Daphnia pulex: one gene and its partners. The protein of the gene in region 1 binds, or shares a complex with, the protein of each later gene. Links are inferred from orthologs where the notes say so. Each region holds a gene or a part of one and is shown on either strand. Other genes may lie near its edges.

Evidence for each region.
Region 2: pre-mRNA-splicing factor CWC22 homolog (region 1) and splicing factor 3B subunit 2-like share a complex: the UniProt entries of both Homo sapiens proteins name them as parts of the minor spliceosome. The link is inferred for Daphnia pulex from reciprocal best matches to the Homo sapiens genes CWC22 and SF3B2.
Region 3: pre-mRNA-splicing factor CWC22 homolog (region 1) and smad nuclear interacting protein 1-like share a complex: the UniProt entries of both Homo sapiens proteins name them as parts of the minor spliceosome. The link is inferred for Daphnia pulex from reciprocal best matches to the Homo sapiens genes CWC22 and SNIP1.

The regions. Positions count from the first base shown.
Region 1 is NC_060018.1:7,249,446-7,253,202, reverse strand, and holds the start of pre-mRNA-splicing factor CWC22 homolog, read right to left. Parts: upstream 2,490-3,757; 5' UTR 2,361-2,489; exon of another isoform or gene 2,296-2,360; coding exon 2,138-2,295; intron 2,071-2,137; coding exon 1,566-2,070; intron 1,499-1,565; coding exon 1,370-1,498; intron 1,302-1,369; coding exon 956-1,301; intron 748-955; coding exon 308-747; intron 246-307; coding exon 1-245. Other genes in the region: ubiquitin carboxyl-terminal hydrolase 24-like, read left to right, coding at 3,411-3,647, 3,715-3,757. UniProt on the Homo sapiens protein: Required for pre-mRNA splicing as component of the spliceosome. As a component of the minor spliceosome, involved in the splicing of U12-type introns in pre-mRNAs. Promotes exon-junction complex (EJC) assembly.
Region 2 is NC_060020.1:5,124,913-5,128,669, forward strand, and holds the start of splicing factor 3B subunit 2-like, read left to right. Parts: upstream 1-1,405; 5' UTR 1,406-1,645; coding exon 1,646-1,886; intron 1,887-1,973; coding exon 1,974-2,620; intron 2,621-2,682; coding exon 2,683-3,026; intron 3,027-3,096; coding exon 3,097-3,301; intron 3,302-3,371; coding exon 3,372-3,622; intron 3,623-3,697; coding exon 3,698-3,757. UniProt on the Homo sapiens protein: Component of the 17S U2 SnRNP complex of the spliceosome, a large ribonucleoprotein complex that removes introns from transcribed pre-mRNAs.
Region 3 is NC_060018.1:419,640-422,522, forward strand, and holds smad nuclear interacting protein 1-like, read right to left. Parts: upstream 1,621-2,883; 5' UTR 1,565-1,620; coding exon 593-1,564; 3' UTR 509-592; downstream 1-508. Other genes in the region: biotin--protein ligase-like, read right to left, coding at 1-160, 229-374, 437-445; sulfotransferase 1B1-like, read left to right, coding at 2,225-2,468, 2,794-2,883. UniProt on the Homo sapiens protein: Required for pre-mRNA splicing as component of the spliceosome. As a component of the minor spliceosome, involved in the splicing of U12-type introns in pre-mRNAs. Down-regulates NF-kappa-B signaling by competing with RELA for CREBBP/EP300 binding.

The DNA of each region.
Region 1 (3,757 bases):
ATGTACTCTGCCATTTCTTGAAATAAAATTTTAAGAAATATTCTCGAAGAGCTTGTAGTATCTTCTTCAGTTAGTCGAATGTTAGCCATCACTTGCCAACTGATGGCATCTGTGAAAAGTAAATGGGCAAACATTTTGGCTACATTGCGAAGCTTGTTAGTATCCAGCCGATGAATTGTGTCGTATGTATCATGAAATATTTGCTCGAATGGTGGTATGTATGCCTTATTAATCTGGCAAAATCTCTAATACACCGAAAAGAAAATTGATATACTTGAATAGTTTTTTATTTAATAAGAAATCGTACCTGGGCTAAAAGGCCGAAAAATTTTTCATACGTCCTTTGTTGGGTGCAGCAATCCAAGATCATATGGCATAACTCAGTTTCTTGTCCAGGTTTCATTTGCATTTTCATCATTTTATGGGCACATTCATTGTGATCTAAACTGCTCTGAATAGTAAGGTAAATAACGCGTCGAAGAGCAATAAGGTTTGTCTCCGTCTCGTCAACAATATCGCCTTGTTCTAAAAAAACAAAATTAAAAACATACAAATTGAATCGACCCAAGTAAAAGTATATGCTATTCTTACCTTTTGCTTCCTCCTCCGAAGCACTATCTCCATCAGATTCATCATTTTCTTCTCCAGAACCGTCTGATTCGCCCGAATTATCTCCAATAATTTCTGTTTTGACAGCTTGGTACTTTTCTTCGTTGGCTTCATAATCCGGGTCGTGCTTGAAAACATCTACAAAAATACGCGAAACAGTTAGTGGTATCAAAGTGGAGATAGACATATAAAATCTACTATTAACAGTTTAAGAAAAGCACGGAACTTGGGGCTCATTACAGTCAAAGATTATTTTAAAAATAAATAAAAATTTAAGCCCAGTAAACTAACTTGGTAGATTGAGGAATACAGATATTTTTTAAATCCATTAATAGCAACTTATTACTCAACATATCCTGGGGATCCAATTCTTCTTCTTGTATCGACATCAAATGAGTGAATTGATCTTCTTCTTCCACCAAATCCAAATCTTCCACGATAGCAGGGTTGTCCTTAAAGCCATCCTTTCGTACTTGAAACATTACTTCAATCATGTACTTCACGCGTTTGTCTAAGTCAGCTTCGTGTAAAACATGACGGAGGCGATCGAAGACAGCAGTTAATCCTCGAGGGGAGACTTCACCTAACTTTTGACCACATTCTTTCAAAAATCCAACCGCGACTTCAACTGAATCATCAGTTGCATTTTCTAACAGAAGAGTTAAAATTTCTAGAGCCAAAAGCTCATGTGCCTAAAATACCAAGAAAAATTTTCAGTGCATTTGAAAAACAAAACATGAGAGCAAAATTTCAATATTACCACTTGTTGGTTCACCAGATGTGCTATGAATCTTGTCGAACTCATACATATTTGTTTGTCATTTCGACGAAACCCACGGCGAAATTGAAGAATAAGGCGAGATAATAGCAGTTCACCTATGTTAGGAAACTGAAACATCAACAAATGTGATGTGAATTAAATTAAATACATGAATTAATATAAATCACGTTTATACTTTGGAATTGATTAATGCAGCAAGGGCTGCATAGACATGTGTAAATGTTGGTGATGCAGCTTGTGCCTGAATGATGGACCTAGTTAGAAGACCACGTCCCCTAACAATATTTTCTTTGAACAAGGATGTTATAATCAATGGGATATTTGACACATTGACTTTATTGATTAATCCATGAATGGATTTTTTGAGAGCCTCCCAAGATAAACGCTGAAAAGCTAAGCTTGACTTGTCAGTTATTTGGGCTTGCATCATTCTTAACTTGGCAGGAGGAATGTAAGCTCCTCCGGTTCGTGTCAGCACTGGATCCATTTCTTTAACTCTCTTAGGCTCTTTAGTATCCTCTTCATTTAAAGGACCTTGTTCACTAGTTTTTCTGTCATCCTTTTTCAATTGATTTTCTCTTTTTCTTGAATGTTGATCTTGTTCTCTTGAATGTTGTGTGTAGTTATCTCTAGGGCCTTCATCTCCCCAATAGCGTGTGCCTATTTCATAGTTTTTTTTCCTGATAAAAAAATGAATATGAAGTAAATTAATTTGTTACTTGTAACACTTTTGGTACAGTTGTCTACCTTTCTCTTCTGTATTCCTCCTCTGAACTATACCGTCGTTTCCGAATATTGCTATCGGGCTTTGCTGGAGCTTTTTCGTCTCGTTCATCTTCCAAATCATCGTCGACTTCTTCTAAGAAATTTACGGGTAAACCAACAGCTTTGACGACACTTTCCATCTGAAGGATTATTGTGACAGATGAAGGGAAATTAATTTGAAAATATCACTTAACAGATGTTATACTGTTTGGATGAATAGAAAATTGCAATCGCAACACGCTGAGAAACAACTGCTTTTTTACGTTTGCTTCCTTGGCTTAATGCCTATTGCCATATTGCGGTATTGCCGTTTGCTTACAATTCTACCACTAATGCGCCACCTGCGTTTGGGCAGCTTGTTCGATTTCATTGGTTGTCGGCTTGTCGCCTTATGCCTTATCGGGTTTATCGCAAAGGCAGGCAAAGAGACAAACGTGACAAAAAATAAGAATTAAGAATCTTCTTGTAATCAACCACTTCCTCATTAATGAAAATTTGTTTAAAATTTATTGGAAAAGGAATAATTGAATAAATATTCTGCCCCGAGCAGCGAGCAACCATCAAATACTTTTTGGACTTTTTCGATAACTTGTTTAAATTGTTTATCAGCTTTGTGGCAGCGTTAAGCGCTGAGCCTTCTCAGGTCTTCGTATTTCGTGTAGAATTTTTAAAATAGTTACTGGTGAAATCAGAGTTATAAAGGATCGTTAAAAGAATAATTATTTCAATTTTTGAAATATTTTCGCATGTTTTCGCTAGTCCTGCGAGTTCCTAGTTTTAAAATAGGTATTACTAACCGCTATGAAACAATAAAAACAGGCAGCCACGAAGATTTGTTAAAGAGATTTCATACTTTCAATTGAAATTATGTGGTAAAAAATCATTAAGCATTTTTTCTAAAAGTCGAATCCGTCTGAAACCACTGTTTAGAGGAATGAATGAGCTGGCAACATGTCAAAGATGTCAGCGCCCACGGTTTAATAGGGAGGGCGCATTTGACAAGGGGCCTGCCTACCGCTAACATTTGTTTGCCACTCCTCCATGCAGTTTATCCTATGTGTATAGAAGAATTTCAAAAAGCTCCGCGAAGGAGTTCGTGCCTCTTGTGATCGTAGTAAGATAACAAAAAAACAAAAAAAAAAATGCGCAGAGTGCTTGGGATACACTCATCGTGCATCGTGATATGTTCTAATTTTGTATTTGTTTCCTCTTCAGATAAACAATAAAAATTTTAAAACGCCGGAGAGAAGACGTCATGGACGTCGAAGACGAAAATATCAGCACGTTAATGGCCATGGGATTTCCGGACATCGGAGAAATCAAACGAGCTTTACGTTTAGCCAAGAATGATCTAAATGAAGCAGTTGCTATCCTCACCAATGATCAGTCAGTGTCATCTTATGGACCTGTTGCTGACTTAAACATCGATGTTGACATGAAAGAGGTAGCTGGTGTTTCCAAAGGATCCAGCGAAGATGCTTCCGTGTCTGAAGTAAAGCCTATTTCATCTATTATGTCAATGTAAAGCATTTTTCAACACTTACATTTTTATCTCTTAGAGTGGAAATGATGGCTTCCCTGAAACCCACCTGTATGAATTAG
Region 2 (3,757 bases), on another chromosome or scaffold:
AGATGGGCTTCATCGAAATTGTTTTTTCCCGATGATGGCATCTATGGTGACGGATCACATCTCGTACGGGGGTTATTGCATACATGAATATGAATGGACCCGCAACAGAGGAGGTGAACGAACCACATGAGAGAGCCCTACGTCGTTGAAGGACACTTTGCTTTTATCAGTTAGTCCTGTGATACGTCCGGCAAACATCAACGTGATGTGGCCATCACTTTCTCTTTCATGTCATAGAAACCAACACGATATCAATGCAGGGCAAGGTAGATTACGTTCATGATTTACCTTTGTTCAAAGCCAGCCAAGGGTCGAATCAATAAATGAAGTTACCTCGTCTGCAAATGATATATCGATAAGCATGTCAGCAGACGGTTAGAGGACAAGGGTTGCTTAATAATCTACTGATAATAAATATACTACTACTAGCTGCAGCACACACACACACAATCTTCAAAGTGGGAAAAGCAACCAAATTGGTTAGTTTCTTGGCCTTGCGGTTGCACTGACCCTGGATCAACAATGCCCTATGGCGAAAAAGGCCGACTCTTTCACTCATCGTCAAAAAAAAGAAAAAATAAAACCGTAAACGTATATGAGAGACAAGGAGAGAAAAAGAAACGGTAATGGCTTCGTGGAAAGAATGTCAACGTGTATACGTAATGGCGTGAGAGTCTGAGAGAGACCTAGTGAAGTTGCTACACGGCCTGTGTGATGAAAGTCTCTTATCGATCCGGCTCACAGGCACATCTCACATCAGGGTTGTTGATAATGAAACTGATTTCTCTTTTAGCTTCTACCAACGTTTGATCGGTTCACCGACACCAAAAAATCTCAAGAGGGGTGAAATGGCCACACGCAACGTTTCTCATCAGATTTTACGAAAATGTGATTGTCGATGAGAATTTTCCCATCGAAAAACGATAATATCAAATAGGCTGGAAAAAACAATCTACAAAAGGTATGTACAAACGTAAAGGGGAGAGAACAAATGCCGTCGGTTTCACTTGATGCTGTAGACCTCTGGGCAGAGAGAAAACCAACCAAGACTGCCTTGAATGAGAAACTGAAAACAAGCCCCGACGAAAAGCCTGTCAACACACACCAAAACAGAATCGGCCAAACTTACCGGCCTCGCGATGAACTGGACGATCTCAATGAAAACAATACGTTCACAAACTAACTAATCACACCACTCCCACCGCTTTAGCAATACTCTCAGAGCACTTCGGTTTAAGAAACCGTTTTGACTGCAACTGCATCTCTCTCAGTGTGCCACCACAAAAAAAAATCATTTAAGATTCATCAGACTGCCATCTGGTGTTGATAGTGTGCACAAGCCTTTATTAAAAATTTAGGGCGCGTCGTGAACGCCATCTGCTGGTTTTCTGTGGTACCTCAATGAATATACGATTTGATCATGGCTTTTAGATTCGGCTTCATTTGGTCGTCGTTTACTCGCTTCACCCGTTTGGTTCTCTAACAAACTTGTTTTGCTATCGTGTTTCTTTCAAGGCAGTTTTAAATTAACGTAAAACTTCATCGTGTTTTACTTGGACGCGTCTATTTTGTCTATTGATTTGAAACACCCTTTTGATTGTGTGATTATTCTTTAGAAACAGAAAGTTATTTAGTTGAATTTGACATGGATCATCACATGCCGCCCGGCTACGGCCAGGAGAATTACATGTATGGAGATCCTTCAAGGTCCTTCCAGGGTAATGCTGTCGGTATGTATGGATCAGGTGCTAGACCGATGTCACCTCCTCCAGGTGATGAAGACATTCCCGCCCATGAACATCTCCCATCAGCACTTGAAGAAGTCCTTGCTTACAAAGAATACCGAGTACGAGAAACGGGCCACTCTGGAGAGGTTGATAACATTAGTGAGTAACACTTTTATAAATTTTCTAGTCTTCATGAAAGGTTTCGCTTGCAGGAATGAACTTTATTCTTTTCTATTTTTTTTTTAGTTAATGAAATCCCTGTCAAAACAGTTATAGAAACTGAAGGAACTATTGAAGAGAGGAAAGATGATTTCGGTGGGGAAGAAAACCTTGAAGAAAAAACTAAAACTCAAAGAAATCAAAAGAAGAAAAAGAAGAAGAAGCGCACTAAGAGACATCAACAGAAAGAAGAAGAAGAAGAAAATGAAAGGAATGATGATGCTGAAGAACCTCCACAAGTGGATATTGAGTATGTCCAGGAAGAAATCATTTATGACGACAAAAATCCTTTCTACCGACAGTTTGCCAAAATCTTCGAAGCATTTAAAATCATTGATGAAAAAACTGCAAAGAAAGCTGAAGAAGATGAAGCCAAAAAGAAAGAACTTCAAAGAAGTTTAGAACTTAAGAAGGTCCCCAAGTTTGCAGAAGAGGAAGATTTGGAGGAGAAAAAGGAAAATGCTGATGATGACAAGCCAAAAGTTTCAAAAAGAAAACTAAAACAACTTACTCGACTAAGTGTGGCCGATTTGAAGCAATGTGTTGCCAGACCAGACGTCGTAGAGATGCACGACGTTACTGCTAGAGACCCCAAACTGTTAGTTCTTTTGAAAGCAACCAGAAATTCGGTCCCAGTTCCTCGACATTGGTGTGCGAAGCGCAAGTACTTACAGGTATATTTTACTATGCACAAAGGGTAAACAATTCGTTTTAAACAAATTTTTTTGTACTTTAGGGAAAACGTGGAATAGAAAAGCCTCCTTTCAATTTGCCCGATTTCATCAAAAAGACCGGAATCATGGAAATGCGAGCTGCTTTGCAGGAAAAGGAAGAGTCAAAAACACTTAAAGCTAAAATGCGTGAGCGTGTTCGACCCAAGATGGGGCGTGTTGATATCGACTATCAAAAGTTGCATGACGCTTTCTTCAAATGGCAAACCAAACCCAAGATGACGATTATGGGTGATTTATACTATGAAGGAAAAGAATTTGAAACTCGAATGAAAGACAAAAAACCCGGAGAGTTGTCTGACGAACTGCGAACTGCTCTCGGAATGCCTGTTGGTCCTAGTTCAAACAAGTAAGAATCTATTCTTAATTTGACACCGTTTTGTGTTACAGTAGTTAATGTTAATGGCGTTTTCTTTAAGAATTCCTCCTCCTTGGTTGATTGCCATGCAAAGATATGGTCCACCACCGTCTTACCCTAACTTGAAGATTCCAGGATTGAACGCTCCAATTCCTGATGGTTCTTCCTTTGGCTACCATGCCGGAGGTTGGGGAAAACCTCCTGTCGATGAATTCGGGCGGCCTCTGTACGGCGATGTTTTTGGATTGACTGGAATCGCAGGCGATGTAAGAAAATATCTCATACTCTGTGTATAACAAATTCTATTAACCACGAATACTTTTGCCTCTTTTTCAGACAATTTTACTCGACGAAGAAGTTGATCGTACCTTGTGGGGTGAACTTGAATCGGAAGAAGAGGAGGAGGAAGTTGAGGAGAGTGAAGAGGAAGAAGGAGAGGACGAAGAAGGCGCCATTGATCAATCAGGTCTGGTTACTCCTGCAGAAGGACTTGCTACTCCTTCGGGATTCTCATCTGTACCTGCTGGTCTGGAAACACCAGATATGATTGAGCTACGAAAGAAAAAGATTGAAGCAGAGATGGAGAGGTATGTAACCAGTGTCAACTACTATACAACTGCTACTTTACATTTTTAATTATTCCTATTTTCACTCTTATTTAGTAACGAAACGCCTCAGCTGTATACCGTCCTTCCAGAAAAGCGAACGGACAGAATCGGTCA
Region 3 (2,883 bases), about 6.8 Mb from region 1:
GTGTAGGGAAAGACATTGACCACCCTTCTTGATGTACTCTTCCAGCGGATCGTGCAAGTCATTATCAGACCATCGAGAAGCAAGTACTAGGAGGCTTGTGTTGCTTAGCCAAGCTTTTTTAGAACGAAATGAGAGTTCATCGAGATGGTAAAGGGCATAACTGTCAATCAATGTTACATTGTTTAAGATCAAGAATCCAGATATCAAATGTCTATACTGTTTATATACCAATCCGGCTCTAGTGTGGATTCAAAGAGGGCTCGATATTGCTGAAAAACTTCTTTGTCACTCGTACATATTAGAATGTTGGGCGGTCTTGCTGAGGAGGCCAGCAGTCGTTCCACAGGTCTCATGACACCAGCAATTTTGGTTACCTGTTACCAACTGGTTGTAAAAATTGCTTTAGTTATAAATTTGAATTAACGTGACAACTTACGAATAACATGAACAGCCCCACTGATGTGTGAAACCTGGAAATGAAATGAAAGAACACTTAAAGACGATTGAATACCTTTCGCAGAAACATTAAGTGTATTGCGGCGTTCAAAAAAGAAAATTGTTATGATACAAAACATTGCTGGTCACCAACGTGTCACTGCCCCACTCCCATATCGTCCAAACTAGCATCTGTTTTGCTTTCTTCATGAAGGAGAACATATTCGCGGGAACTGAAGCCAAACTTCACCACATCCTTCTCGAACAATTCGACGTAACGTTTGGATTCAATTTTTTGATTATTTACAAAAGTACCATTGGCTGCTTCCAGATCAATAATATATGGCCGGACAGTACGTCCTGCAGTTCCATCAGGCCGTTCGTAGTTTACCAACCGAAATTGGATCGCAGCGTGCTGTTTCGAGCAAGAGGGATGGTCGATTGGAATATCAGCAACTTTACGATCTCTTCCGATTAAGTAGGCGCTTTGACGGTGAAGGTACAACGTAGGCAATGCCTCTTCCCCTTTAAAGACGTAAAAACGCCACCGTCGCTTGGGAATTCTGGCTTCAGGTGGTTCACTGTATTTGACCACCACACCATTGAAAACATTCTTCTCTTCAGTCAATTTTCCTGATAGACCAAAGTTGGGTTTTTGCTTTTCAACGAGTGTTCCTTCTTCTTCTTCATCTTTAACTTGTTGGCCATACTGGTAGTTGGCTGCTTCAGCATCTTCACTTCGGGGGCTTTTGCGTCTCTGCTTAAAAGGTCTTGGTGGTCGATCTTCTGAATGTGGTTGCTCATGCCGTCTTGAAGGCCCTTCATTGTGTTGTGGACGTCTGAAACTTTGTTCATCATCACTAACTGGTTCTTTCTTGATTTTAACTGGAATTGGTGGGTCATTTCTTCGATTACTTTCTTTGTGTGAAACTTGTGAATCATGTCTCCTGCTGTCTGATTTCCGACTTCTTTCATAGTCATCACTTCTTGAATGGTAATGGTCGCTTCGTGAAGATTTTCGTGGTGGGGAAGAGTCACGTTCTTCACGACGTCTGTGAGTCTTGCCTCTTTCATGGCCTCGTTCGTGGGACCTTTTGGGACTCCTCTCGTCTTCGTTGTGCTTTACCATGGCGATCCAAACGAAATAAAACAAGATATGCACAAGTACTCTCTAATTACCTTAATGTTTCTGGCGTATTTCTCAAAAAAACGAGATCAATTCAATGTTTCAGTTTCAGTTTGATACAACTCGTTTCTCGGCTTGTCAACATGAAATGGTGTCGCAACTCGTAACCGTTGCCAGATTTACTTTCATCCACCACCTGTAAACGGCTAGCCGCTAGCGGTCCGCCGTCCGCGGACCTGCTCTCTGCTGCCTCACTGCCTGCTCTTTAATGTATTTATATTCTCATTTTTTTATGTAATGTTTTAGAAATTGAGTAATGCTTATGTATGCCAAATTGAGAATTTTTGTAATCGATTACAGCATAACATTTTCGAAATCAAAATTATGTTGTTAGAGAAGTATATTTTTCTTTTGCTCGTTGGGTCGTTGTAAAATATTTAAATAAATATTATCAAATATCTGATATTGTAATACATATTTACGTGGATTTAATAATTTTGCATTTGATTTAACGACGAAAACCAAATCGTTAAAATTTGATGTGGCACTCGCTGAGTCGCTGTTGAGTATAAAAAAGGAGGCCACGGTGTCATTCAGTCGTCGCGGTCTTTGTTCGATCCTTTTTGCCGTTGCGTTTTCATTTGTTGTCTGAGCTCTCGCACGATGACAAACCCCGAAAATCCTTCAGTTCCTCCCGAAGTTGTTCCAGAGTGGAACATAAAATTCAATCCTGTAGAAGTGAATGGAGACTTGAAAGAACACTTCACAAACTACGAGCAGCATGGACTGATGAAGAGCGAACCTGGTGGTTTTCTCTTAACGGATGAGTATGCACGCCATGCCAAAGAAATTTCACGTTTTCAACCAAGAAGCGACGACGTTTGGGTAGTAACCTTTCCAAAATGCGGTAAAATCCTTTTTCAATCATTTTTAAGATTTTTTTTATGTAATAGCTACATTTTTATAAAATAATAATTCGTAAAAATAAATATCCTAGTGGTATTTGTTTAGCAATTACTGCTATTACGTCACAATTTATTTCTTTGTCATCAATTTTTTTGGCCGTAGCCTTGAAAGTCTAGTAGCCAAATGGCAACCTTGTATTTCTCCCCGCCTATTTTAAAACACATAGTTTGAAACAAACAAATACAAATCTCTCGGATCTTGAAAGTGTTAACTTTTCGTATTCTCCCGCACATATAAAATTGATAACTTTGAATTTGTTTACTTAGGAACGACGTGGACACAGGAATTAGTGTGGATGATTCTCAACAATTGTGATCCAATTGGATCTAAGGCACCACTAATAGTTCGGTCACCCT